Coturnix japonica: one gene and its partners. The protein of the gene in region 3 interacts with the protein of the main gene of each other region in a pairwise test. Links are inferred from orthologs where the notes say so. Each region holds a gene or a part of one and is shown on either strand. Other genes may lie near its edges. The genes, in order: ARHGDIA, MYO9A, CDC42, PAK3, CDC42EP1 and CDC42SE1.

The links.
Region 1: the proteins of CDC42 (region 3) and ARHGDIA interact in binary tests that used the Homo sapiens proteins (3 or more experiments, as listed by UniProt). The link is inferred for Coturnix japonica from reciprocal best matches to the Homo sapiens genes CDC42 and ARHGDIA.
Region 2: the proteins of CDC42 (region 3) and MYO9A interact in a two-hybrid assay, tested with the Homo sapiens proteins (3 studies listed by BioGRID and IntAct). The link is inferred for Coturnix japonica from reciprocal best matches to the Homo sapiens genes CDC42 and MYO9A.
Region 4: the proteins of CDC42 (region 3) and PAK3 interact in a two-hybrid assay, tested with the Homo sapiens proteins (2 studies listed by BioGRID and IntAct). The link is inferred for Coturnix japonica from reciprocal best matches to the Homo sapiens genes CDC42 and PAK3.
Region 5: the proteins of CDC42 (region 3) and CDC42EP1 interact in binary tests that used the Homo sapiens proteins (3 or more experiments, as listed by UniProt). The link is inferred for Coturnix japonica from reciprocal best matches to the Homo sapiens genes CDC42 and CDC42EP1.
Region 6: the proteins of CDC42 (region 3) and CDC42SE1 interact in binary tests that used the Homo sapiens proteins (3 or more experiments, as listed by UniProt). The link is inferred for Coturnix japonica from reciprocal best matches to the Homo sapiens genes CDC42 and CDC42SE1.

Annotation. Positions count from the first base shown.
Region 1 is NC_029533.1:4,453,554-4,457,835, reverse strand, and holds part of ARHGDIA (rho GDP-dissociation inhibitor 1), read right to left. Parts: intron 1,859-4,282; 5' UTR 1,839-1,858; coding exon 1,649-1,838; intron 1,314-1,648; coding exon 1,230-1,313; intron 624-1,229; coding exon 547-623; intron 375-546; coding exon 311-374; intron 1-310. UniProt on the Homo sapiens protein: Controls Rho proteins homeostasis. Regulates the GDP/GTP exchange reaction of the Rho proteins by inhibiting the dissociation of GDP from them, and the subsequent binding of GTP to them.
Region 2 is NC_029525.1:802,358-807,026, forward strand, and holds part of MYO9A (unconventional myosin-IXa), read right to left. Parts: intron 3,937-4,669; coding exon 3,813-3,936; intron 2,835-3,812; coding exon 2,781-2,834; intron 893-2,780; coding exon 690-892; intron 494-689; coding exon 351-493; intron 1-350. UniProt on the Homo sapiens protein: Myosins are actin-based motor molecules with ATPase activity. Unconventional myosins serve in intracellular movements. Regulates Rho by stimulating it's GTPase activity in neurons.
Region 3 is NC_029536.1:5,530,743-5,534,700, forward strand, and holds the start of CDC42 (cell division control protein 42 homolog), read right to left. Parts: upstream 2,801-3,958; 5' UTR 2,677-2,800; intron 1-2,676. UniProt on the Homo sapiens protein: Plasma membrane-associated small GTPase which cycles between an active GTP-bound and an inactive GDP-bound state. In active state binds to a variety of effector proteins to regulate cellular responses. Involved in epithelial cell polarization processes.
Region 4 is NC_029519.1:12,632,324-12,636,809, reverse strand, and holds part of PAK3 (serine/threonine-protein kinase PAK 3), read left to right. Parts: intron 1-175; coding exon 176-224; intron 225-1,565; coding exon 1,566-1,678; intron 1,679-2,157; coding exon 2,158-2,275; intron 2,276-3,088; coding exon 3,089-3,188; intron 3,189-3,560; coding exon 3,561-3,757; intron 3,758-4,486. UniProt on the Homo sapiens protein: Serine/threonine protein kinase that plays a role in a variety of different signaling pathways including cytoskeleton regulation, cell migration, or cell cycle regulation.
Region 5 is NC_029516.1:46,737,578-46,742,525, forward strand, and holds the end of CDC42EP1 (cdc42 effector protein 1), read right to left. Parts: intron 4,636-4,948; 5' UTR 4,255-4,635; coding exon 3,816-4,254; intron 3,184-3,815; coding exon 2,384-3,183; 3' UTR 1,026-2,383; downstream 1-1,025. UniProt on the Homo sapiens protein: Probably involved in the organization of the actin cytoskeleton. Induced membrane extensions in fibroblasts.
Region 6 is NC_029540.1:2,207,278-2,212,750, forward strand, and holds CDC42SE1 (CDC42 small effector protein 1), read right to left. Parts: upstream 3,519-5,473; 5' UTR 3,381-3,518; intron 1,734-3,380; exon of another isoform or gene 1,714-1,733; 5' UTR 1,612-1,713; coding exon 1,558-1,611; intron 1,471-1,557; coding exon 1,360-1,470; intron 1,165-1,359; coding exon 1,093-1,164; 3' UTR 1,090-1,092; intron 963-1,089; 3' UTR 54-962; downstream 1-53. UniProt on the Homo sapiens protein: Probably involved in the organization of the actin cytoskeleton by acting downstream of CDC42, inducing actin filament assembly. Alters CDC42-induced cell shape changes.

The DNA of each region.
Region 1 (4,282 bases), on a different chromosome or scaffold from region 3:
AGAAACAGCTCCTTCCAGAAGGAGCAAAACCCAGCACTCGTACTGCTGTCCACACAGCAACAATCTGTTCAACTCCAGTCTCCAGCAGTGAGTGCACACCAAGCTCAGGCACAGCAGAGCCAGCACAACAGGTGGCTCCCTGCAGCACAGCCAGAAACCTCCACACCTTGCCACAGTGGAGAGTTTGCTAAAGAACATCTCTTTCCACTTTGAGTTGCTGGGGTACCCACACAAAAGCATCCATCACAGCAACAGAAAGAGCAGGAAGCCCTCACAAAAAGCAGTACCTAAAACACAGAGAAGCACTTACTTTTCACTCCTTTCCGGAATGTGTGCTGAATATACTTCAACCCTGACACAATCTCCCTGTTAACCTGCAGAGACAAGCAAAGACTGTCAAAGACGGATCTCCACATGCTGCCCACCCCACCCACTGCAGGGAAATATTTCCTCCATCACACCTATTTGGGGGCCCTATGATGGAGTTGCAGTGATCGGGTGCTCTAAATTTCACCAGTTGTTCAGTTTGCAGATCTGAATCCTTACCCTAAAGGAGATTTTTATCCGGTATTCCACACCTTCTTTCAGCACAAAAGCTTGCTTCTTGTAGCTCTCCAGGTCACCTACACAGAAAGTAAACAATTGCTCTGAGTCCATTTGCATCGTGCTTTGGAAAGGATTTCAGCTATAAAAGGTGAAATGGAAAGTATCTGCAGCAGGGGACTGGACCCTTACTGGTTGTACAGCATGCATTTTATCCTTTTATTCTTGCAATTCAGGACTCTCCTTGATATGCTGCTTGTGCTACTTGAGGTGGCCAAGTGCTCCCCCAAGAAAGGGAACTGCAGCATAACAGTGCACTTAACTCAAGGATGTTCCTTTGTAAATGTCTGCTCCAAAGCTGTCACCATCTTGAAGCTGCTATTAGTGCGGCTGTGCAGGCTGGAGGACGGCTGGCTCCCCCAGCTGGCAGCTCAGACATTTATAAAACTAAGGCATGCAATATAGAGAAAGCTGAAAGGCCTTTGCTGAGATAGGGCTGCTGAGATGCAAGCTGAGGTGGGAAATCCTCTTGACCACGGCACCTGGCTCTGCATCCAGCAAAGAGGCATTTTGGACATGCAGGTGAGCTGCCCACCACAGCATCAGTGCCTTGGCAACACCTCCCTGAAGACCCCACATTAACCAGCGTTGACTCAGAGAAGGGCTGCTTTTGTTTCCCAGCCTACCTGTCAGGTCCAGCTCCAGAGGGCCAGGAGCAGTAGTACAGACCAACGTCAGTTTGGTCACCACCACATTTGGAGCATTGGGATCTAGAAGACAAAAATAAAAGGCTGTTAAACAACTAGCCCTTGTACCAAGCAACTCGTTTCCCCTTCCACGGAAGTTCTTGAAAGAGTGAGAAAACCAGTGAGGGCTCCAACCTGTGTGATTTACACCCAGCCCACACACTCTCCCAGAACATCTCCCTCAGAGGTCAGAAAACAACCCCTCAGTCCCACTGCTTTATTCCAGGGGCCACTGAATAGTGGCAGACACTGCCCCTTGTGCTCCTGGCTATACTCACACCAAGTCACAAAGAGCTGGGGAGAGAACAGCTCCCAGACAGGAGCAGAGCTGAGGCCGGGGAGCCAGAGGTGGAGCTCACCTGCAGTCACGGTGACAGCACCGAGCAGTGCCTCCTTGTACTTGCGCAGACTCTCATCATCCTTGTCCAACTCCTGGATCTCCTGGATGCTCTTCTGGGCAGGTGGCTTATAGTTGACGGAGTGTTCGTCCTCCTCATTCTCAGCTGCGATTTGGGCCAGCTGCTCTGCTGTTGGCTCCTGCTCTGCCATCTTCACACACGCGAGTTACACTGAAGCAGGGAGGAGACGTTTAACTGTAGCTATCTGCTGCATATTGGCATAAACCAGCCATCCCAAAACAGCCCTGACTCCACAGGTCCCTCTCCCACCAGGTTCCCCACTCCAGAGGCACATTGCTGTCAAGGACCTGTGCCCCCCCCAGCCTGCCCTCGGCAGCCAAGATCCCATTTTCAGCCCTTACAAGAGGATTGGGAAAAGTAATCAGCCTCTGTGCTTTGTTCAGCAGCTGCAACAGAGAAATAGCCCACGCCATAGAAAAAAACAACTCCTCCACATGAACAGCTCAGTGATGCTTTCACTTGCAATCAGCTTGAGCCCAGAATAAACCCAGTTCAGTTCTGCTTCTCCATAGTACAACCTGGTGAGGAGAAGAACAGGCCCAGCCCCACCGCTGGCCCAAATGCCAGAAGCCTCAGCTGCAATCTGGAGCTCACAGTTTGTAATTCAATCAGAATCTACAATGGAAGGAGACACCTGGCTCAGCTGACCTCATCCTGATCCTTTCCAAAGATATGTGTCACAGAGCTGGGCAAACACATGGGTTGAAGACCGGTGTGTAGATTGGCACTGCTTTGTAAGCCCCAGAGCACAGTGTAACCAGGAAACACCCAGCTGAGAGCTGGTCCAACAGCCATCAAAACACCAGGAAAAAGTGTCAGTAATTCCTGATGCATCACAAGGAGTGCTGCCCTACGGGTGATCCTACAGCAAACATCAGCTTGGACTGCTCTGAGGGCTTAAAAACACTCAGCTGACAACTTTTGAAAGGCTTCTCAGACAAAATCCTCCACAAATGACGTGCAGATGGATGCAGGTATTCCCGTTATTACCTGGCATTTCCACGTCCCATTCTGCATTCCTGTCTGGAGTCGTGTATCAGCACACATGACTCAGACTGGAAAACTGCATTCTTTGCTCTGCCATCCAGTTTCCAAATAAATCAACACTATGATCTTAATTCTGATCTCCACGTGCCCCCACAGAAGACCAGGATACATCCAGAAATGCTGACTTGTAAAGGAAAACCCAAAGTCTGCAGCACAGGCTATGCTACGTAAGCCAACTGCTATTTGCTCTTCTCCTCTTGGAACTAGCTGACATAACAGCCCTTAACTCAACGACTTCATTCCTACCCAATGTGTCACCCAGACAGGGAGAGAAAAACCTGAGCGCTGGCACTGAGCACACACAGCTCACAGAGCACATTGTGCAGTGACACAAGACAAGTTGTGTCTGCCTCCATCTTGAGCCTGGCGACAGCTGCAAGAGCACAACAGCAGAGGTATGTGTAGATGGTGTTTTTAGCCATAAATATTAGGAATGTTCTGCCAAGGAGACAAATTAGAGTGATATGTTGCACATCTCTGCCTGATGACTATGGCTGATCCAGGGTATGAGAGCGGCCTCCAGCACAGCACCAGGGCTGTAGCTCAATGCTGGCACTGAGATGAGGTGCTGTCAGATCCCGTGTGGGTGAACCCCCAGCCAAACACAAGAGCAAATCTGAGCTGCCCTGGGCTGGCAGCACCTCCCAGGGAGGCTGGGGCACCAACATGGGTGCACAAAGGGTACTTGCAGCGGGCATCAAAACCTGACTGAGCTCTACCAGCAGAAAGGGATTCTCCAGGTCCCTGGCACTGATTGCCATGGAAATTTACATTCAAATCTTATGCCATACATGAGCAACCGAGTAGCTCTCACCCTAGAAAATCCATATCGAAACCAGTCATTTCCTTTAGGCTCCCATCCAAGAAAGCTTCCAGGCTTGAAGGCTCCCAAAAGTGTTCAACAAACACTCACTCAAGCATTTGTTCCAGTGCTTAATCTCATTTTGCCCTCAGTTTCAGCTCCAAGCCAGACTTCACCCCTCCCCTCCCTCCCCCACGAGCACCCCATGGAAGTCCATGGGTGAAAAGTGGCTCTTCAAACTGACCCAAAGTTACCAGAAACAGCAAGCAATGTTCCAAACAGCAGCTCAAGACAGGCTGGGTCTCAGCTCTGCAAGGAAGCACAGGAAAAATGTGCAGCGAGGCCTGGAGGAGCCTCATGGAGCTGGCTGCACCACAGCCCCTCTGCTGCAGTGTTCTGATGGCATCGTGCTCCCACTGCGCCCGGCTGACCCTGCTCCCAGCACACAGCATTGTGCAGCCTCACATCACAGTGCTCAGCTGCTGCCCTGAGTATTCTGCCAGGGAGAAAGGAGGCTCCCAGCAGCATCAGGCTGCTCCGTGCTTCTATAACAATGCATTTCCTACAGCCTAGAATGAGTAGAACAGAGCTGGTCGGGTGCATGCAGGAGGAGCTGTCGTACTGCTAGGCAGAGCAGAGCTGAGGGACTCAACACACTGGAACACTGGGTCGGGCATCCATCTCATGCCATGCCCAACGTCCTGTAGGATCATGGCTCCAGCACA
Region 2 (4,669 bases), on a different chromosome or scaffold from region 3:
CCTCAGAGGTAACTGGGCTCCCCAGCTCAGCAGGGACGTATGGAACTCAAAGCAGAGAGAGAACCCAACCCAACCCAGATGAGATGTTCCCACCTCCACCACATCACATCGTGCACAAAGACATCCTGGTGTCCAGGCAGTAGGAACAACAACCCGAGCACCTGGGACAAGACACCTAAAGAAGCATTAATCTCCCCATCCACTCAATGGGCAGAATGATTTACAGACCCTGGGTGTTTTAATCATTAAGTAACACCAATCTCATTAATTCAACTACACTGCTCTATGCAGAGCTTTGCTGGGGAACAACTGCATTGAAACTCCTCTGATCACAGGTTCTATTGACTCACCTGACCGATCGGAGATGGCTCTTTCAGAGTCAAAGTTCAGGTTTTCTGAGCTGTCAGCAGTGCCGATGGAGGCTTCCGACTCGAGCGTTTCATCATCAGAGGCACGAGGCTCCAGCGTCAGCATCTCAAATGTCAGCTCCTCCCTACAAAACCCAACCCTGTGACCCAACAGGACCAAAAAAGGGGGGAGGAAAGCAAGAGGCATGCAAAGAGTCTTCCAGCTCAACCCATGAGCAACATGCCAACCCCAGAACCAACTGCCATCACGCCATCCCCAAGTTGAACCTCTAGACAGAAGGTGCAGAAGCAAGCAAAGCTTCAATTCAAGGGCAGACTCACTTCTCCTTCTGCAGGCTTTCGATCTGCTCAGTCAGCACCCTCTCCTCCTGCTGCATGGCTGCTTGTTGCTGCTCTGTCATGTCCAGCTCCATGGCCTCCTCGCTGCTCACAGTCTCCTCGGGGACGTCAGACACAGAGGGCAGGCGCATGGCCACAGGGGATGTAGGGCTGGGGTAGGTGCCGCGCCGCACGCGGCCTTTGCCCTGAAGATAAACATCAGTGTCAAGCAATGATTATTTTGCACAGCCTCTTTCTGGGGGGTTCCTCCTCCCTGGCACAAAGGGAGCTACAAGATACAATGGGATGATGCAACACAGCAGGTTTGAGAGGTCTGCTAAGCAGGTGGAAGAAAGCATGGCATAAAAAAAAATAGGTGAGAAATAGTTGGGGAACAGCAAATAAACTAACGGTCAAATAGAAGAGTCCTGCATTTTAAGTAGTATTTAAACTTCTGATTATGAAAAAGGACTTAGATGGGAGTATTATAGATGAAGAAATACTGCAAGTGCAAACAGCCTCTGCTTTACCTTTGGAGAAGCTACTCCACAGGGTGAAAGAGAAATACCAGTTTTTGGACACAGAGGATGCTGAGGAGTAGTGTGCTTTGTGGGCACGCCATGGCCATTAAAAAGATTTCATCCTAACTGTTGCCGTAACTGAACACAACTCATCTCCTGAAGTCAGGATCCTGAACTGGTCAGAGTGAAAGATGAGTGCAACACGAATGCAACCTGAAAAACCCAGCACTTGCCTCTGCTCCACCTACAGGCTGCCCTCTTCCTTCAAACAATTATGTTTCTTGGTGAAACTGAATTCCCTTCTTGCTGCACTCTGCCTCATTCATCAGCTCATAGGCTGCTTTCCTTCCCACAGGGCTATTTCAGCACTGTAGCTGAGGTACCCCTTGGTCTTCCTCACAACCCACATGCCCAGAACATGGGAGAAAAGCCTCAATTTTTCAGTTTGAAAGCAAAACGCTATCAGGAATGCAAGCAGGGATCTTTCCTTGAGTGGCAAAGCAAACCTACATTGACATCAACGGGACACGGCTCAAGTGGGAGGCAATGCTGAGCACTGCTTCCCCCTGCAAGGTCTGTTAAATCCTACAGCCCCGACAAACACTGCTGCTCAGCACTAAGACATGAGATTTGCTCCATTTTACCGTTTCATCTCCTGCTGTTGCACCTGGGAGATCTTTCACAAAGGAGCTTCCGCGCACCGCAGCAACGTTCCTCTGATGCCAACCTCATCACGTGGGCTGCTGAGCTGAGGCACAGCCACCTGAATCCTATTAGCAAAAAGCCCTGAGCTCCCAAAGATCCCCTGTGTACTGTGCCTCGTGTACTGCTCTCCCTGCCTATGGGGCACTCAGCAGTGAGCGGATGCTGCAGTGACGACATCCACGTGGGCTTTCAGCAAAGCCCTCTCTTCTCCCAGCTGCTGCAAGTGGAAAATTCCCCGGTGGGTTGGATGTGGGTTTGGTCATAGTGCTTGCATGTCCAACGCTGGCTCGAACGAGGATGGCAACAACACTTTTTTGATGGTAAGAGTAGGGTTTGCTCTAAAAGAAGGAGCTTTCATGGTCAAAGGGGAGTCTGCTGCTGTGGTGGCTCAAGCCATGACAGAGTGGTGAGGTGCAGGGCTGCTGCATCCCCACATCCATCTGAGGCTGCCCTGACCATCAGGGGTTCAGCAGCCTGGCTGCCCAGAGCATTTCAGTAGATGCCATATGATGACTATGGATTCACCCACCGCAGCCAAAGCAATGGCTTCACCGTGCCTAAATACATCCCCAGCAGGAATTGTGGATGGGAGCAACATATCAAAGAAAGCAAAAGTTAGGAAGGCATAGAATGGAAAAAGAAAATTAAGAAGTGATGGTGAAAGCAACTTCTCGCAGAGCTGCATGCAGGGGTACAAGCCCGGCAGATTTGGCTGCTGCTGCTCTTGGGCATCCCAGAGAGCCACCTGCAGGGGGACAAGACAGGCAATGTCACAGACAATGGCCGGTGGCACAGGGCTGGAATGAGCAGCGGTCACACAGAACGGAGGGACACGGCTGGCACAGAGCGCTGTGCAGTGAATACATACCGGGATTGAACTGCGGGTTATGCTCATAAATCTAACTGCAATTAGTACGGGTTTCTGGATTAGAGAGGACATGAAAAGGAAAGCAGAAGGTTAGAGCGCACATGCCATTGTCCCTCCAAAACAACTGTTTTTTGTTTGGTTTTGTCTTTTTCTAAACCAAGATGAGCGAGGCGTTTCCCTGCAGTATCGGTGCCAGTGCATGGCCGAGCCCCAAGCTTGGCAAAATGACCCCAGAGTTGGGCCAGACCTGCCCTGAGGGCCACCGCGGGCAGCTCAGCCCCACAGCATGGGTCTGGATCAGGTATCTCCTGATCCCACAGCCAAAAAGCCACACATAGCATCAGCAGCCCGCTGGTGTGCTGGGGCGAGCAGGACCCAGAGCAAGCTATTGCTCACCCTGAAGCATGGAAGCTCAATGAGATGGTTGGGGAGCCTCAGGGAGCTCAGTTTGGATTCAGGTCACGTTAGTGAGCTCATCAGCAGCACAAAGAGGACAAGGCCAGTGGTTATGGACTGCTTCAGTCCAGGTCTCCCTTGCATTTGTGCATGGCATGACAGCAAGGTAAGCAGAGGCTGGATTCAACCCAAATTGCTCAAACGTGCAAGATAAAGACTGAAATGTAAACAGGAGCCTCCAAGCTTGAGTGACTACATTTCCACAGAGCACTCTCTCAGGCTTCTTTCCCATCGCCTTTGCTGGATTCCCTGAAAACACAGGGAGCTGCCATGGGTCTGGGAGATGTGCTGCCTGGGGTGGGATGGTTTGGGAGGTGCAAGGGGCTGGGGAGGCTGGAATAAGCAAGGAGAGGTAAAGCAGGATTGCTTCAAGTGAAAGGAGAAGAAAGAAGAAAAGAGAGGTGACTGTGTCAGAGCCAGAAAGTGGTCTGACTTTCCCTGCAGCAAGACAGACGTTCTCTGTAGCTATGATGGATGCACCATGGGAACACCTGATATCCACTTTGGTGCAAATTCCCTTGTAGAAGGAAAGGGGTCACGAGTCTGTGAGCAGCAGGGGCTGGTGCAGCATCTCACCATTGACCTGCGGATCAAGGAGAGGCGGCTCTTGGCTTTGTTCTCAGCAAACTCCAGGCTGTTGATGTCCTTGAGGCGAGCCTTGTATTTGTTCATCTGCTCGATGACAATGAGTTCTACACAGCTGGGAGGCAAGGAAAAGACAAAACAGAAAGTTTTTACTCGAGCTGTCTCTGCCTGGTGCAAAGATCTGCTCTGCTTGAGAGCTTCAGCATGCAAGGATGCAAAGAAAAAGACCAAGGAAATTCCCTGAGAACAGCGACAGAATGCACAGCTCCAAAAGCAATGTCTCCTGTTTGTTTCCATGGAAACAAATTTCCATGGGTCAGTACTGTAGCTGGTCCTGTTTGATATCTTTATCAGTAATCTGGCTGAGAGGACTGAATGTACCCTCAATAAATTCACCAATGACACCAAGATGGGAGGAAGTGTAGGTTTGCCTGGGGGCAGGAAGGCCCTACAGAGGGATCAGGACAGGCTGCATCAGTGGGCTGAGGCCAATGGGATGAGCTTCAACACGACCAAAGGCCTGATCCTGTGTTTGGCCATAACAACCCCAAGCATTGCTACAGGTCTGGGGCAGAGTGGGTGGCAATCTGTGAGAGGAAAAGGGGTATGAGCTGATAGTCAGCTGAGTATGAGCCAGCAGCGTGGAATAATTAGGAAAAATTTATTCTCAGAAGCAGTGGTAATGTGTTGGAAGAGGCTGCCCATGGAAGTGGCGAAGTCAGCATCCCTGGAGGTGTTAAGGAAAAGGGTAGATCTGAGAGACATGGTTAGTGGGCATGGTGGGGACGGGTTAACAGGTGGACTAGATGATCTAAAGAGTTCTTTTCCAACTTCAATGATTCTATGAT
Region 3 (3,958 bases):
GTCTCTATCATTTTGAAGTAACTTGTTTTCTGGATGAGCTGCTATGAATTACCAAGGGAGAAGCTCAAGGTGTCACCTCAAAAAGCAGCTCTTAGACTGATATATGCTATGCTTAATGCAACTTAAGAACTGACAGCTACCACACTATTCAGCAGGGCTCGTCACAACAAGCTGATAAGTGCAGACATACACAAGATAGGAAGTGAATGCAGCTGAGTGGGAGAATTTTAGAAGTCTGAGCTTAAAGCACTGCCAACATAACACCTTTTAAGTCCTACTACTTAAAAGAAATGAAAGAGTCAACAGCCATTGCACAGCCCTACATTCAAAACAAGCCTGGTCAAGCAGAGCGTGACTCAGTGGGCACAGCACAGCAAGGTTCCCATCTGCTCACTGCTCGGACCTCAAAGGAACCACCTTCACATGGACTCAAAGAAGAAGGCAGAAGTCATCCCACATTAAACCCTGAGAAGCACGGCTGCTTATCCCAGCTCCCCTCCCTATAGCCAGACACATTTAGAAGCACTACAGCTGACACTGGCAGCAGCACAGTGAGCACTTTTGCATAAGGGCAGCCACCCTGTGCACATCAGCTGCAGCACCCAGTGCATGGCTCAGCTGCTGGTGCTCCATGCGTAGGAACTGCCCCAACACTGTCTGCAGGAAGCAGCGTGCTTATCTCAGGCCTATCAATATCACTGCTGATAAAGGGATTATACTTTGTTGGGAATGATGTTCCAGAAGAGATTTCTCATTGATGCTTTCCACTCCACATTAAAGGAACTTGGATCAGAACCCATGGACACATGCATTCCAGCATAACGGGGTGACAGGAGCCATGGTCAAAGCCTACAGTGCACTAAGTGTGTAAGCAGAGCTCCTGCTACATACTAGAAACCCATATCGCTTCCTTTTAATGCAACAGCACCTCCATATCTGTTGGTTTTTCATCAGAAACTGAGTATTAAGTGTGAGGATAATTACAACCCCTATATACCAACACTCCTGAATTGGAGTAGGTTGACATTCATCATCATGCCTATGGATGGAGCCAAAGCTGGGCTGGCCACAGCAAGCAAGGACTGAGGGGCTGCAGTGTGCAAGGCTGTAGGTGACTTAAAAGCTGCATCTAAAGACACTTCTGGTACTGCAAGCGTGTTTTATCCTGCAGCTTTTATTCCTCAGCAAGGCTTTAAAATGCTTTGCGTCCTTATTACTGCAGCATATAAGCAGTAAACAGACCGAACAAAGAGTCGTTTCACAACTAACAATATTAAACACATTAACATATTGATTCATTCATGCGTTACCTGCTTCGGATGAAGACTTGCCTACACTCCACCCCATCATCTCACTCATTTCCAAGCCAGAACAACACATTTTCCACATATAAACACCTGAATACAAAGCCTTTCTATCTAAACTTGTTCCTGTGCAACAGAGCCAAGCTCCAAGTGCTTTACTGACTTACTCCCATTAGAAACACTAGAAACTTAACCTGGGTTTTAATTATTCCTCTAAAAAAAGGCCATTTGGGGTGCTCCAATGGAACACTTTGAATAAAGCCAGCATCTCTTTCACAGGCTGCCCAGGGAGGTTGTGGATGCCCCGTCCTTGGAAGTGTTCAAGCCCAGGTTGGATGGAGCCCTGGGCAACCTGATCTATGGGGTCTCCTGGGCAACCTGATCTAGTAAATGTGTATGTTTGGTGGCCCTGCCAGGCAGGGGGGGTGGAACTACATGACCCTTGAGGTCCCTTCCAATCCAGGTCATTCTGTGATTCTGTGATTCTCTTTCTTTATGGTAGAAGTAATACAAACAGATGCAATCACAGACTGAACTACTTTGGCCTGCACGTCTATCACAGCCTCTCATCCAGGCCTTGCCTTCATGGTGCTCAGTCTATATGGTTAGATAGCAGTGCTGGCTCTGCAGCCTGCAGGCAGATGGGGCAGGTACCATCCTTATCTCCCCCAAGCACAGATTCCACACACACCTGGGCCACCACCACCATCAGCTTACAAGAAAAGCTACTATGAAAGGGGCCACACTATATTTCATCTCAGAGAGCTCAAAGATGGAAGAGAAATCCCCCCCCACATCAACCCTCCAAGCACAGCAGCCAACAACCAGCCATATACATCAACGGGACGGCGGATGACCCAGCACCTGGGCGAGACAAAAGCCGGGCAGCGCCTCCCAGCTCTTTATAGGGAGAAGGAGGAGAGGGAAGGGAAGGAAAGGAAACGTTCGGCGGTTCCTAAAGCAAAGCCCACACCCCAACTGCGCCTCGGAACTACTTCAGAGCTGGGCGGCGCTCCCGGAAGAAGCACAGGCCCAACCTGCGGCACCGACCTCCGGCTTCCCCTCCTCCCTTGCGGGGCTCACAACCCGCAGGGCCCAGCGCTCCGTGCCGGGCGGGGGGCAGGACGAGGAGGAGGCCGAGCTGGGCCGCGTAGGCCGCGCTCCCCCCCATACACACACACACACACACACACACCTCAGCCCCGCTCTGCGCCAACAGCCCCAACCCAGCGGCGGGGAGGCCCCACACACACACAGCCCGCACCCACACGGTCCCGGTTCTCCGCCCCCGCTGTGTGATGGCGGTACAGAGGCGCGGTGCAGCCCGCACACCCGCCCGCCGCTCCCGCCCCGCTCCGCCGCGGCCGCTCACCTCAGAGTCTCCGCCGGGCGTTGGCGGCTCGCTGCGGGGTCTCCTCGGCTTCAGGCGCAGGGGCACGCTGCGGGTGACGTCATCGCGTAGCGCTGGGAGGGGGGACGCTGCGGGTGACGTCATCGCGTATTGAACGAGAAGGCGGAGCGCGCTTCCGGTTTGCTCAGTCGAGGCCTGTGCGGCCGGTTGGGTCGGAGGGGCGATAAGGCCGCTATGTGGGTCACCAGCAGGGTTAGTTAGAGCCCAGGCCTCTCCCAGCCGCTGTTTGGTGCCTTGTTCCTAATGCAACTCCCACCCTATGGACCCAAAACTGCATTAGGGGCAGGCTAAGCCAAGAAGAGGCAGCCAATAGGCCAGAGGCACTTAGGGACCCCCCCCATAAGCTTTATCAGGGACCCCCCATAAGCTTTAATAGAGACCCCCCATAAGCTTTATCAGGGACCCCCCCCATAAGCTTTATTAGGGACCCCTCCATTAGCTTTATTAGAGACCCCTCCATAAGCTTTATCAGGGACCCCCCCATAAGCTTTAATAGAGACCCCGCCATAAGCTTTAATAGAGACCCCTCCATAAGCTTTAATAGAAACCCCTCCATAAGCTTTAATAGAGACCCCTCCATTAGCTTTAATAGAGGCCCTTCCATAAGCTTTGTGAGGGACCCCACACATAAGAAACCACAAGCAGAGGCAGCAGCCATCACCCCAATCCTTTGTACATCAGCTTACAGTTCTTAATGATGGGAAACAGATAAAACTGGGGCAGGAACACCTTCCTCCCAGAGAAGCATAAATCACAGGTCTCCGATGTTGCTGTAATTAGCACTACAGCCCATGCAGTAATTAACTTTCTCCCATTCAGATTTAATAACATGCAGTAAAATAAGACCTGGGGTGATAACACATGCAGGGGGGGAAGCACCCTATCAAATGAGGCACTTGTGACTTGATAAGGAATTAATTATAGCCTGGCCTAATAATAACAACACATTGCTTTTAATTTGCCCAGTGCTCTGAGTGAGGGAGGGTGCGCTGGGAAAAGCTTCTTCCTAAATCCTACAATGACTCTGAGAAGATTTCGGTCAGCCAGAGTGAAGCTCCGCAGGATGGGGCTGGGCTGATGGCAGCGCTGTAACAAAAGCCTTGTGGGCAGATAAGATGCAGATGAGCTGAGGGAGAATCCAGGGCTGCAGCATCCCCATCTTCAGGTCTCAAGCCAGGCACCAAAACCCCTTCTTCTGCTGCAGGGCATGGGTCAGGAGGAGAACTACTTGGTCTAAGGTGAA
Region 4 (4,486 bases), on a different chromosome or scaffold from region 3:
GGACATTGATCTCAGATTCCCCACAGCTGGGTGGCTGTGCTCTGTGCTGCTGGAGGCCTGAAAGAGCAAGGGAGAGGTGGGACCACTGCAGGCAGCGGAGATGTTCTGTAAGGGCTTGTTCTCACTCAAAAGCACAAAACCACTTCTCATTCTTTGGTTGCTGTTTTGTTTCTAGGGCATCAGGAACTGTTTATACAGCAATAGACATCGCCACAGGACAAGAGGTAAGCCCCAGCCTCCCCAGCTGATGTTGCTGCACTCAGTGTTTTCCCCTCTGGCAGGAGCTGGGGATGGGTTCTCAGGGTGCCTGTAGGTCTGTAGCGCACAGGCTCTTCCTCCTCAGCATGGACTGGTGTCAGCCTGCAAAGCGCATCAGCTGCTGTCTTCAGCTTCTCAGAGAAAGCCTTTTATTAGCATTGTGGTTTTCTGTCCCTGTAACTGAACACTTCCTGGGCTGTCTGTTCTCCTGCAACCATTAAGTGGAGGTGCTGATGAGTTCCTGGGCAAGGGTAGTCCTGGTCCCCCTGGGCACTGTCTGTGCCTGAGCTGATGCTTCACCTTTAGCGTCTAAGGGCAGTCCTACGTGATGTGTTTTCTTTTGTCTTCAGGACAGGTCAGTGCTCTCGGTGGTGGTGTTGGTCCCATCCCAGTACTGTTAGTCTGTCATCCCTCAGTGGATGTTTTAGACATCTCTAAGGTTTTCAGGCCTGATTAAAAAATGTTTTTGTTACCCATGTGAATGCATTAGGTTAGAAATATTCCGAATTTCTTTGTTCCCAAACACAGCTGATGAATGAGAATGTGTTGAGTGTGATTTAACTCTGTACTAAAGACTGCCTCTGGGCCTGGCCATAAGTTGGTTAGCAATACCAATTGTAAAACCCAAAGATCTGTGACCACGGGCCTCAGGGAACCCAAGTGGTGGTCACGGTTTCCCCTATTGCTGTGAGGAATAAATAGCTGCGTTGCATTGCTTGCTTTTGGGCACAATTTGTAAGAACAGCCAGAAATAACACAGAGAAGAAAGCGCCGTCCTTCAGAGAAGGGCACCCTGTTTTCATTGCCCAGTACTTGGATGCAACAACAGCTAATGGACGTTGCTCTCATTCGTTCCCAATTTATCCGGAGTATATATAATTATTAAAAATTTCTAACAGTTTTTACGTACTTTCATGGTATTAAAATCATGTGTAGCTTGCAGAAGGTGCACAAAGAATAACGATGGGGTTAACAAGTTAAGGCCATCTTAGAGGAACATAAGCATGGAGAGTGTTAGAGATTTGTGGTTGATAGTCTAAAGATGGTTTTTACAGATTTTATAAGGCAAGGTATACCTATATATCATATGCATTATATATATATATATATATATATAATGACTGTGTGTCCAAAGTGTTACCCAAGCAAGCACAGAAATAGGGTGTTTTGCCTTACTGACTTCCAGTGCCTAATAACAAGACCCCTTGCCACAGCTCTGATACATTGTTCCAAGAACACTCCATGTTGGTTCTGATCTTGTGCAACAGACTATTTGAGCTGATGCATTGTTTCCACTGTCATTTTAGGTGGCCATAAAGCAAATGAATCTCCAACAACAACCCAAAAAGGAACTAATTATTAATGAAATCCTGGTCATGAGGGAAAATAAGAACCCCAATATTGTGAACTATTTAGACAGGTAAGTGATTCTGGTCTTGTCACCAGTGCAGTGTTCTGTGCTTATTTAGGTGGAATATGTTGTTCTGAGAGTATTTTTAAATATTCTGACCAGCCCTACCTTACTAAAACAACTGCTTGGAGCTCCATGACCTCCCTGTTTCTAAGTTGGTCATATTTTGTGCATATAATGCAAATATATCACCATAGAAATTATTCTCTTTGGCTTTTATGGCTGTTTTCCATTGCTGTGGATGCCAGACAGACAAGATTCTTGTTTCCAGACACATGTAATTTGCCAGTTTTTAAGCTGTTTTCCCTATTTCTGGATGTATTTATGTAAGGTTTTCCAAACTGTTGACCATGACTTAGAAGGAACATCCATTCTTGTTATTCTGTCTTCATTTAAAAATGAACTGTTAAGAAAAATAACTGCGGTAATTTTCCTAAGATGATTTAGTTACATTCATCTTAATGAAATCTGCTGTTGTCTTCTTTCAGCTACTTAGTAGGTGATGAGCTCTGGGTGGTTATGGAGTACTTGGCTGGAGGCTCGCTAACTGATGTTGTTACAGAGACATGTATGGATGAAGGACAGATAGCAGCTGTCTGTAGGGAGGTAAGGGATCCCAACTGCACTTCTGATTACCGGGACAGAATGGTACTTCTAAGCAGGTGCGAAGAACGTGAGTGGTGTGTCCAGATCTTTGTTTCTATGTTGCTTTTTTAATATGGGAGAAGAAAAGTGTGTTTAGTGAAACCGCCTGCCAGGATCACCGCCCCATGCTTTGGAATTACACTCTTCTCTCTTTCTAAGTTCTACTGTTCTCAGCTTTGCCTCTTCCAGCGTTGATCTGGAGCATGTCTGCACTGCATCCCTCGCCTGTAAAAGCAGACGTGCTGGAGGCAGAATTTTAAAATAATAAGGAAAATAAGAGACTCATTTATCACAGTCCTCAGCTTAAAAGGGGAGTATTCCACCCAAGGTGGTATTTGCTTCTGAAAAGTGACTAACATGTTATTTCCAAATATGCTGCAGGACGTAACAGTAACATCTTTGTCGTGCAGCCTTCCACCCAAAAGTGATCCGCTTCCTTCTGAAAATGACGTTTTCTTTTTGGCAAATAACAGTTTGTCAAATGGACACGAATGGCACATCCATTTTAACAGCGCTCATTCGGTCTGTGCTTCCAGGGGACAGGCAGTAACAATAACTGGCGTTTCTGTTCCCAAAGTTAATGTGCCTTCATTTAGAAGGTTATTATTCTGGTGGTGTTGAAGCAGCAAGCTATTTCTTCTGACAACGCACTATTCTGCCATTACTGTCAATTCTTCTAGAAATTAAATCTTTTATAGCCATTTCCTCTCTTGTGTGATGAAATCAGGTCATTAATTTTTACCCTTGTGTGTGTGTTTTTTTTATATCTATCAGTGCCTGCAAGCGCTGGATTTCCTTCATTCAAACCAAGTGATTCACAGAGACATAAAAAGCGACAATATTCTTCTCGGAATGGATGGATCTGTCAAATTGAGTAGGTATTCCTGGCCAAGCACAGCTTTCTCGGGATGGGGTGCAGGGCTGCATCTGACTGACTGCCAGTTACACACAGGAGTGCCTGTGATAGCGTACTGAGCACTGCTACAAGCTAGGAGCACAATCCCCACATGTGGAGGAATATGAAAAGGAGGAAGGTGTAATATCTGGCCTTTTTTTGTGCATGCCCTTTGCAGAGACCAGAGTTTATCATCTGAAGTCTTGAGTGTGTAAAAGTCACCGCAGAGCAAACAGCCGTGACCCCTTTTCCAGCTGGGTTCAACAAGACGTTCTTAGGCATAACGTGGGGATCTCTTTTCTTGGTTTTGTAATTCTAGATGGCTTTAACAACACTTGTTTTTGTCCTCAGCTGATTTTGGCTTCTGTGCTCAGATCACTCCCGAGCAGAGTAAAAGGAGCACAATGGTCGGCACTCCTTACTGGATGGCACCCGAAGTAGTGACAAGAAAAGCATATGGCCCCAAGGTTGACATCTGGTCACTTGGGATCATGGCAATAGAAATGGTGGAAGGAGAACCTCCTTACCTTAATGAAAATCCTCTCAGGGTAAGGTACAAATAGAATCAGACACCGCTGTCTTTTTAAGCTGTCCCATGTTTAGAGACGAAATCCCAGTTACATCAGCTTGAACTGGTTCCAGCAAGGACAGCTGGTACAAATGTCACTGGAGCACATCAACATGGCAGAGCACTAACAGAGCGGTAGCATGGAGCCAGTTCAGCAATGTGTTGGTTTTGTGTTAATGATGCAGAATTCCTCAGGCGGTTTGTGAAATCCCTGTTAGCTCCATCTCTGACAGGGATTTTCCTGTGGCAAATTTCTCCAGCTGATGAATCTGTATGAAAAAAGTTTCGGCTCTCTCAGCAGGCAGAAGTATTTCCAAACACAAGTCAGCGTAGATGGGTTACCTTGATTTATACCAACTCTTAAACTGTAAGAGGGGAGGAATGTATACTAAGGGAAACACTCGTAATGGATAAACAGATAAGTGCTACACAGGTATCTCCTGATAGGAGACAGGGATCTGAGGAAATTAATCTTGCATCTATGTACAGACAGGATTTTTGTGAAGGCTGGAACTGATGTACAGCGTGACCCTTAGTTCCTCTCACAGTGGCAAGGCTGCACTCCATCTGGCACCCAGACTCTGTGATGCAGACTGAAAGAGCAAACAACAGCTACAAACAAGTACCTGGCCATGCTATTTAAGAAATGCAGATGGCAAATATACAGACTTTGGTCTTGTATTCTTTCTGAATAAATGCTCCTGGGGCT
Region 5 (4,948 bases), on a different chromosome or scaffold from region 3:
GCTGCTTGCTTTGATAGATAGATGGAAGGGCTGTGTGCCCTTCTGCTGGTATAATGCCAGGCTATGTGGGGATGGGAACACAGGCGTGCCCCAATACTGGCATTCCTGCAGTGATAAGGGGTTGTCTCTGGCTTTTCCCCTTATCTCACCTCACTTATTTGCTGGTGCATTCCAGATGAGTTACCCATTACTCCAACATTGCCTTTTTGGAGGGAAAGTGAGGCAGGGGAGAGTGGTAGGGAAGGAGGAGAGTTTTTAGGTGGGTTAGGCAGCTCCCACCTGTGTCTCTCACATGGGACCTCAGGCTATTAGCGCTTGATTATCTGATGCTGCTGATCTAATTAAGAAGTATCATGCCAGTTGCAGGCAGGCCTGGAGTGTGCTGGGTCAGTCCTGTTCCCAGTGTCCCTGGGGAGGGAGAATGAAATATGCAGAAAATGAGGAAGCAGAGAGATTGCAGTGCCTCTAACAGCGCTGGGAGGAAGGGCAGGAGGAGGCTGAATGTGAGGAAAAGCATCACCTCCTTGCCCTCACTGGTCAATGTGTAAGCGATGTTTATGTTAAACAGAAAGCTTTGGATGAATCATGGAATCACAGAATGGCTTGAGTTGGAAGGGGCCTTAAAGATCATCCAGTTCCTCCCCACTGCCATAGGCGGGGATGACACCTATCAGCTCAGGCTGCCCAGGACCCCATTCAACCTGGCCGTGAACCTTCAGGGATGGAGAACCCACAGTTTCTCTGAACGTTCTGTGCCAGCACCTCACCACTCTTTTTTTGAGTGGTTTTGAGATGAGTTTTCCTCCTAACATCAGTTCTATATCTTCCCTATTTTAGTTTAAAAGCATTCACCCTTGTCCTATCACTATCACACTGTGTAGAATCAGTCCACCTCCTGCTTATAAGCTCCCTCACTGCAGCCTTCTCCATAGGAGGAGAGGTGCTGGGATCAGAGTGGCTGGGACCAAAGTGGCAAGGGAAGATGCCAAGGTCACTACAACTGAGGGAGGAATGCACCAGAGAAGTTAGTATCAAAACTGCTTTAATAAGGACAATCATAAGTGCAGGGATACAGAGTGGAGGCAGAAAGGCTGTTCCACAGATGTGGGTCTTTGGTCTGGAGCCTGTACCACAGTCCAAGAAGCAGAGAACAGGGAGCTCATCCCGAGAGCCGTCTCCCTGGCACAGGCTGGATGCTGACCCTGCATGGCCCTGCTGAGTGCTGGTGGTTGGAACTGGGAACGTGCTGGCACTGCTCTGGGGGTGCTGAGGGAGGAGGGCTTGCCCTTAACCTGCCTGCAATGACTGCCTGGCTCCCACATACAGCACGTGCATGCTGGAGCCTCTTTATTCTGCTAAAGGACTGGGCAGTGGGTGAGCCACGTAGGAGCGCAACCCAATGGCATCTCCCCCCACTGCACACCCCCGTCTGTTCCAGAGAACAAGGAGGGTGCTGTGAGGGTCCCTCTGGTGACCTCAGCCCCCAAACATCTCGGCTCCACACCACGGCACAAAGGCGCTTCTGTGCTGGGTGGCATGGAGGCCGCTTGTCCTAGGGTGGCTCCATCACCCGGGGATGCTCAGAGAACAGCACTGAGCATCCTCCATGCATGTCCTTGAGACAAGGCACTCTGCAAAGAGGGGTGTGTGTGTGTGTGTGAGGGGGGGGTGGGTAGAGGGATGAGGGTGGGGAATAATGGCTGCAGAGAGGGAGTCTCCTTGTTGTGAGGTGGGTTGAAGGGAAAGGGAGTTTTTAAGGCAGTATTTGGAAGCCAGACAGTCTCACCTCTGGCAAACCACAACGTTTCTCCCCCTCCTTGCTGCGAGGGTTGGACAAAGAGACTTCCTCAGTGATGTCCAGCAGCATAAGGTGAGGGGAAGGTCCCCCGAGAGGAATGCTGGCTGGGTGCCTGGTGCAGCCACTGCCACCTCCATGGCCACCACTGCCTTCTCGGGGCAGGGCTTTGTATCAGGGATCAAGCTCAGTGTCTGTGAGCTCTCTCTCTGATTCCTGTCTGTCACTGTTGCTTCCTTTCCTGAGCAAGCTGTTTGCTTGTGGGGGGATGTGGGCTGGGGTGGGAAGGGGCTCAAGGGTTTCTTTGGCACACGGGAATGTCCTTTTGGCACCTAATGGGGAAGGGGAAGGGCTGTAGCATGGCACACTGCAGTGCACGGCCCTCACCCATCCCTGCAGCACCCTGCCAGACCTGGGGGTCCTGCAGGAGATGGGGCCCCCTTCTGCCCACCTTATACTCCACTGCCCTATGGTGAAGGCCAGGAAGTTGCCTGCTGGGTCTGTCACCAGAGGTGGGGGGTAACGAGGAGTGTGATGACCGCAGCACTAATGTCTTTGGGAGTGGGGCCACGATGGTGGGATGGCCACTCACACCTTGACTTCATCGTCTTCCTCCTCCTCGTCGGCATACTCAAAGGAATTGCTGCGCCCCCCCCGGGTGCCAACGTGCCCCTCTTGCAGGCTGGGGAGCTCGTCTTCCTCATCCTCCTCCTCTCCTTGGTCCCAGGTGTCCTCTGGAGACTGTCTGGCTGCTGACACTTGTGGCCGCCATGAGTTGCTGCTGGGGCTCTCCCAGGCAGCCCGTGTCCAGCCTTGCCGAGCACCCTCGCCCTTCTCTGAGCTGCGTGGGGTGCTTGTCCCCCCATAATGGCGAGCCAGGACCTGGGCTGCCCGCTCGAACTCCCCTGCCTCAATGGAGCAGTCGTTCCAGTGCCCCTGCCATAGGGTCCCTCCGGGCACTGCCCCCAGCCCTGAGGCTCGTGCTGGGTCCTCCTTGCGCTGCTCAATGGCACGTGCCTCTCCATTGGCACGGATGGACAATCCCAGAAGTGAGTTGGCTTGCCCAGCGTTGTCCCAGAAGCTGGGTTTTGCCTTCAGCTCTCCATGGGATGTGTTTGGTCCTGGAGGGACTCCGTCCTTGGTCCCCTCACCATGTGGAAGCACACAGCTGCCAGGTGGGTCTCGGCCATCCTCTGCTACCTCGTTCCCATTGGTTTCAGAGAAGCTCATCACCTGGAGGAGCTCGCTCATGAGAGAGGGCCCCAGGTCCAGGCGGAAGGAGAGCAGGGAGTCTGAGCGTTCCAGCTCTTCTTCCCCAGGGAAGGTGCTCTCCTGGGCCTTTTCCAGGCGAGGGACACGAGGGATGGTGCAAAATCCAGACTCCAGCCCTGCAAAGAAGTGTCGGTTGATGAGCACAGCCAGAGTGCTATGGTGGAACAAAGCCTACATGGCCACGGGACAAAGGATGCTGATGCCAGCACAGGTTGGTGGCACCGGCCAGGTTACCTCCCTTACAGGGCCCAGTGACATCACACTAGTGCAGCCCAGGGTGCTATCTCCAAAGCCCAGAGCTGTGGTCTTCTGGTGGGCAGCAGGCACGGTAAAAGGCTGATGGGAATGGAGCCGGGTGGGTGGGACCAGGAGATGGCAGCATTGCCTCAGCTTGCCTTTCCCTCTGAGCCCAGCCATGTCCCTTGGTTGCCACAGGCACCCAGACCCTCCTGAAACCTTCTGCCTCAGCCCCTGGAGAAAAGCTGAGTCACAGCCCCTGGCTGTCCCATCCACCCATCCACAGCCCTTCCAAATGGGGCCTTTCTGAATGCTGGCCAGTGGGATGAACAGCAGGAAAGGGAGGGATGAAGACCCTCGAGGGACAGATAGAGATGGAGGGATTGGGACAGCTGGGGGCTGCTGGGGGCTTCAGTATGGAGGTGGAGATGGCTGTGCCGTGGCATGAGCATTGCCACAGTGGGACATAAGGGCAGCTGGGGCCTAGCCACCACCCCAATGCTGCACTCACCGTAGGTCTGGTGTGCTTTGGAGAGTCTGTTTGAGGCACTCTTGAAGGAGAACTTGCTGGTCAAACCACTGTCGCTGTCATACGCTGCCTCGTTGAGCTGTGGCAGCGACACAGCATTCTTGATGATGGGTGAAATGGCCGGGGGTTCAGGTGATGCCCCTGCCTGGCTGCTCCCGCTGCCCCGTCTCCTCTGCGGTGTCCGTCGGACGTGCCGCAGCGTGCGGGCAAAGAAGTTATTGGCCTTGGCTGGCTCAGCCCCACCATGGTTGCTGAGGAAGGAGGTGTCCCCAAAGACATCACCGCCACGCCCCACGTGCATGGTGTGCCGAAAGTCCCCCAGTGGTGGGCTGATCATGTCCGGCGTCAGCTCCGACTTCAGCCGCCGCTTGCCATGGGAGCCCGACACCCAGCTGAGCACTGGCAGCTTCCCCAGGCTCATCTTGATCCTCCTTGTTTCCTCGCCTTCCAAAGAATCAAAGGCCAGTTTCCAGCAACGGGATGGCCCGTCACATCCCCATCACCAGGGGGAGCGACTCGCCTTGCCTTGGCTTTGAGCTGGTGGCAATGCTGCCTGCATCCGTGTCCCTGCCCTACGTTACGCTCATGGAGTCACCCAGCGTGGGGATGTCTTGTAGCCTTGGCAGGGATGAATCCCTTCAGGGAACTTTCTCACCCGGTGACAGTGATGGTGGTGGCAAGCACGTGTCCCCAAGAGGGTCTGTGGTCACCCCAGATGCTGCTGGAAGCTGATCTGATGTTGGAAGCTGGTGCAGAGTTGGGTGCTGGGAGCTGCAGCGTGGCAGGTAGAGCTCCTTGATTCCTTAAAGAAGAAAAGAAGGAAGGTGAAGCCCTTGGAGAGGATTCTCACAGACTCACTGGGTTTCCCCCTGGGAGCAGTGGGGCTGAATGGCTGTGGGGAAGCGTCCCCAAGAATGTGCCCTTCCCTCTGCCCGCTGCAATCCTGGCTGAGGATTTCTTCCCCATGCCCTGCCCCACAGGGGTGAGAAACCTCTCCCTGCTTTTCGCTACTAAGACAAACCCTTCAGGAAAGGGTGAGGCCTGAGGTACGGCACAGTTCTCAGGGAGGAGGAGGAGGAGCAGAGAGGGAAAAATGCAATATTTGTGTATTGGTT
Region 6 (5,473 bases), on a different chromosome or scaffold from region 3:
CCATCTACATCCACCACCCCCCCTCAGCAGTGAGCAGCCCGGGCAGCCCGCAGGCCTAGCACAAGATTTTATTTCAAAGGTGGGGTTGTGTCGGTTTTTGTTTGTTTCCAAAGGGGGGATAAAAAGTGACTCAAACATCTGCACTCACCAGGTGCAGCGTTGGGGCTGAGCAGCCCAGCATCACTGGGAGCACAGGGGAGGGAAGGGAAGCTCTGCTGCCCCGCTTGGCTCCGGCATCTGCTGGTTCCTGTTCAGCCCCGGCGCTATTTAAACTATGTACACGTGCACCTGAATTCGGAACCTGAGAGTCCCTCCTTCTTGGGGGAGCAGCTGGTGCTGGTAAAAGCCCAGCGGTAACAGGAGAGGCCAAATGGGAGGATTTTAGAGCTTTAAAAAAGAAACAAAACACAGAACAACCCCCTCCCCCCCAAAAAAAAAAAAATCCTAAAAAAGAAGGAAGGCGGAGGTTGGCTGGTGGCGATGCCGGCTGAAGGCTGGAGGAAAGGCAGGCTTGCTGGCAGCGCTGGAGCTGCAGGATGCCCAATGCTGGGGCTCTGGGGCTCTGTGATGCCTCCCCAGCTCAGCCCCTGCAGCACAACCCGCCCTACTGCGGTCCCAAGGGAAACTGAGGCATGGGGGGCAGCGCCGAGAGGGGCCCGTGGGAGACAGCGGTGCCAGCTGGGGTGTGGGGAAGGGAGAAGGGGGGGGATTTGGCACATGAGGGCTGTGCACGGCGTCTCCCGCTGTGGGCTGGGCTGCTCTGCTTGCCCCATAGGGAGGGACAGCGCTCTCCTGGCCGGCCCGGTGCCCCGGGGAAGGGGGGAGGATCTGTGGGGGATGACCCAGAGCCAGCCGCGCAGCTCCGCCTGCATAAGTTACCACGGGAATCAAGCGCTTGAGGTTGGCTTTTCCTCCGGTGTGGGGATCAGGCAGTTCAAGTTTGGGCTGAAAGAGCCAGAAATCTGAAAAGTTGGAGATGAGAGGTTACAAAACTGCCCAGCTCATTAGATGTGTTAATTAGCAGCGTGCTTTAGGTGGTGACAGCGGGCGCTCGGGGCTGCCCAGCTCCTGCCATGGCTGCGTACTCACATGCTACAACACACGGGAGCTGCTCCACTGCCGCTCCCGTCCTCCTTTGGACCTCATCTCCTGCACAGCACCCGTCTGCAGGGAGGGGAGAAACGTTTCACCACCACAACAAATTGTCACCAACCCAGCACCGAGCAGAAAACCCCCATCACACCACCCCCAAGGGCTCCCAGCCCCCTTGAAAGCCAGCACCATGCAGGGCTGAGATCACAGCACCCCCATGCTGAGCCCCACCACCCACCCTTGCTCACTGTCAGCCCCAGGCCGTACCATGGGCATCCCTTCGCCCGCAGCCATATCTCCGGAGCCGATGTGAGTCAGGTGCACGAAGTTCATGGGCTCACCAATCATGGAGCGGTCGATTCGTCTCCTCCTCTTCTTCTGCATAGAGATGAAGGCTGTCAGCCCCCCCTGCACCCAGGATCACCCCCCACCACCACCCCCGTCTCCAAAGCTGCAGCTACTCACAGGCTGTGGTTTCTCCACGACGCAGCAGCCCAGCTTGTGCCAGAAGTCGCTCATATTTGCGGTGCCTTCCAGCTTTGCTCCCGGCGGGGTGGGGGCTGCGGCGCTGCAGAGACCCCCGTGTGCTCTCACTCCATGGGAACGGGTGGGGGGAGGCACCTGTTCAGCAGGGAAGGCACCTGAGATGGGGACAACGAGAAGGATTTGTCCCCAAGTGGCACCGCAGCACAGGGGGGTCGTGCTGAGGGGTGTGGAGTCACCCAGGGAGGTACTGCAGGGAAACTGAAGTGCTTGGGAAGGGGTGGGGGCAGCTGCTGTCCTGACAGCCCTAATCTGAGCCTCAACATGCTGAGCAGACACCTATGGGCACACAGGGTGTCCCCTCTGCCCCCAGTGCAGGACAAGGAGAGGATGCTGCCATGGGATGGGGGCACACATGGCAGTGAATTGCAGCACCCCCTCCTCCCCCCCCCCCTTTAGAAAGGAGCTATAAATACAGCTGCCTTTCTGAACAGGGACCGGAGGTTGAGCTCTTCCGCTTCGGCTCAGAGAGCGAACGGGGCGGGGGAAGAAACAAACAGGAGAGTGCAACAAACAGCCCCGGAGTTGGGGGGGGGGGGGTGAAATGGAGGGGCTCAAGGTTGGGGGGATGGAGGGGGGGGCACAGCTCTGCTCTGCAGGACAGCCCGGCAGCAACTCAGTCTGAAGTCCAGCAGAGTACAACCAACACTTCTTGCCTTTGGGGTGGGCACCCACCAGGAGCCCCCTCCCCAAACACAGAGCCCAAAAGCCAGGCCTTAGGGCCTTCCCTTCCCTGGTTGTGGGGGGGGGACTGAGGGTGAGCTCACAGACCTCGAGGTCTCCTGAGCCCAACTGTGCAATGAGCTGCACCCGGCCTGTGTGCAAAGCTTTGGGGTCTGTGAGGGGAAATGGCACCAATGTCACTGGGGGCGTGAGGGGGGGCGAAATGCCTTCGGGCAGACCCAGGCCGGCACTCACAAAATGACTTCCCGGTTGGGAAAGCACCGCTCAGCCGCTCTGCGTCACCGAGGGGGGGGGAGGGGGGAATGGACGGATCGGGGCACTCCCACGGACTCCAGAACCCCAAAACTTCAATAAAAGGCCCGACCCCTCAACCCCCCCACGCTCAGAGAGGGCAGGGGGCTCTGATGGGGGGGGGACACACCGGATCGGGGGCTCAGGACCCCCAGGATGAGGGGGTGACACGGGAACCGCTCCCACTCTCCGGCTTTGGGGTGTCCCCTCCCTATACTCCAACAAGGTGCTGCCCAGGGGGTTCCCTCAGCTCACAGGGGTCGCGTTAGGGTCGGGGGGGGCAGGACCATGAAGCGTAACGTGGGCAGCACTGCCGACCCCCAGCACCGAAGGATCCTCCCCCCCACCGCCCCCCAAACTCCAACCGGGGGGCAGACGAGGGGGTGCCCCCCCCCAAACATCGAAGGGGCAGCGTTGGGGTTGGGGGCGTTAAGGACCCCCGCGATAAGGCATTCAATCCGCAGCGATCCTCCGTGCCCGGCCCAGCGAGGCCCGCTCGCCGTGGGGCGGCCCTATAGGGCCCAGCGGGGATGGTAGGGTGGGGGGCGGCTACGGAGCGCCCTACTGCGCTTCTCACCCCACCCCCCGTGGGGGTCCCACCGCACACCGCTCTCTTTGGGGGCGAGGGGGTTCATTACAAGGTATTTTTCGGGCCCTCTTCCGCCAGGCCTTCCTCACCCCCCCATCAACTCCTGTAGGCCTCAGCCCCGCTCCCTCCGCCCCGCTCCCCCCTCCCGGTGTCTCCGCGGCGCCCCCCGCCCGCCGCCCACCTGGCTTCGCTCCGCCGTGGTTCCGCAGCTCCGGGACGCCGCGCTGCCCCGCTGCCCCTCCGCCTCCTCCGCCTCCACCCGGCGCGGCGCGGCCCGGAGCGGCACAGAGCGGAACGCAGCTCCAACCCCGGACACAGCGAGCATTGCAGGCCGGGAGGGGGGGAAGGGGGGGGACACGGAACGGGGGGGGTTGTGGGGTCGTGGGGTGACTCGTGGGGGATGGAGGGAGATGAGGGGACAAGGGGGGGAGTTGGGGGGCACTGAAGGGGTTTGGGGGTACAGATGGGGGTTGGAGGGGATTTGGGGCCAGCAAAGGTGGGGGCTCAGCAGGGATGGGGTCCTAGGGGGGTCTGGCAGGATTTGGGGGGCAGAACGAAGCTGAGAGCCCCCACAGGGGGGCTTTGCAGGGCTGGGGGGGCACTGATGGGGCTGGGGGTCCTCGGGGGGCTGCAAAGGGTTGGGAGATCCCACAGGACAAAGGTGGGAGTCCTGGGGATCAGAGGGGGGGGGCTGATGGGGGTGGAAGGAGTCATTGGGCCAGCAGAGCTGGGGGTCTCAGCAGGGCAGGATGGGGGCCCTAGGGGGCTGCTAAGGAATGGGGGCACCCGGTGAGGATGAGGGGGGCCTGGGGGCAGTCGGGTCCCTGTAGGTGAGGGTTTGGGGTGCAGGGAGGGCTGGGGAGGCTGAGCAGAGCTGGGTTGGGGGGCCCGGGGGGGGGCTGTTAAGGATGGGGGGATCCCAGCGGGATTTGGGGGCTCAGCAAAGCTGGGGGTCACCCAGCACAGCTCAGCAGAGCCGAGTTGGGGGTTTGGGGGTGTCGGTAAGGAGTGGGGGTGGCTCTGTGAGACTTGGGGTGCCCAGCAGAGCTGGGGGGGGCTCATTGGGGCGGGGGGGGGGCGTTTCACTCAGGCTGGAAGCAGATGGAAGCAGCCCCCCACCCTGCCGGGCCGCTCACCTTTCTGCCTCAGTGTCTCTTTTCTGGACCAAAACTGAAATGAATCAAAGCAGAAACGTGTCAGCCGCACCCCGACCTGTGAAGCCTTTTGAGGGCCACGGCCCCCCCCGGCCCCCTCCCCACTCTTACCCACGGGCACCCCACAGCCTCATCTGCACCCCCCCATAAGGGCACCGTGCTCTATGGCAGGTGGGCCGCCTCCATCCCTCCATCATCTGTCCGCCCCACGCGGGTGGGGGCTGCTGACTCATCTGCCCACGCCCCCCCCCCCCCCCCCCCCCCCCCCCCCACTCCTCCCACCCCCACGGTGGTTCGCTGCGAGGGGCTGCATTGCAGACCCGGCTGCGCCAACAGACAAAAGCGACGCCGCAGAGCGAAGGTTGCGGAGACACAAAGAGGTTCGGCGACCCGCAGCCCCCCCCAAAGAGCCCAGCGCAGGTAACAGCCCTGATGGGTGGGTGGGGGTCCGGGGTAGGGGGTGCTCTGCGCTTTGGTCACCTCGTTCCAGTGATGTTCATTACAATTAGGGATGGGTCGGACCTTTTAGGGTTCGGGTTTTGGGGCGGGGGGGGGTTGTTTCTAGTGCTTTGGTGCTGGTTATTTTTCATCGCCATCGCTCCGGGCTGTGTCCCTTCGTGTGTGTCCCCCCCACCCTTCCCAAAGGAGGCGGCTATTTAAAGCGCTGTGCTCACACACACGCCTTTTGTAGCCCTCCCAAAGCCGTGGGGGAGCTTAAATATAGCCGCCCCCCTCCCCCCGCCCCGATATAGGGCTGGGCTCAGAGGGGTACCTGGGTCACCTCTTTGGATTCAGGGCATGAAATGGGGGCATATGGGGGGAGCAGAATGCAGTGGGGGGGGGGGGGGGGGGGGGGAGATGCACAGAGGGAAGCAAATGGGAGTAGAGCCTTTTGTTGGGGAGGGTCTCATGTGGGACCTGGCTCCTGTCCTCCCCCCTGCATGGATTCCCTTTATTCCTTCCCCCTCCATCCCCTCTATTCCTCCTCCCCACCTCAATCCCCTTTTTCTCCTTCTCCCTCCATCCCCTTTCCCTGCCCCCAGCTGTGGGGCTATTGGGAACCCCTGTGTGCAGGGTGGGGTGGGGGCTGCCCCCTCCATCAGCTACAGTTCAAGCTGGG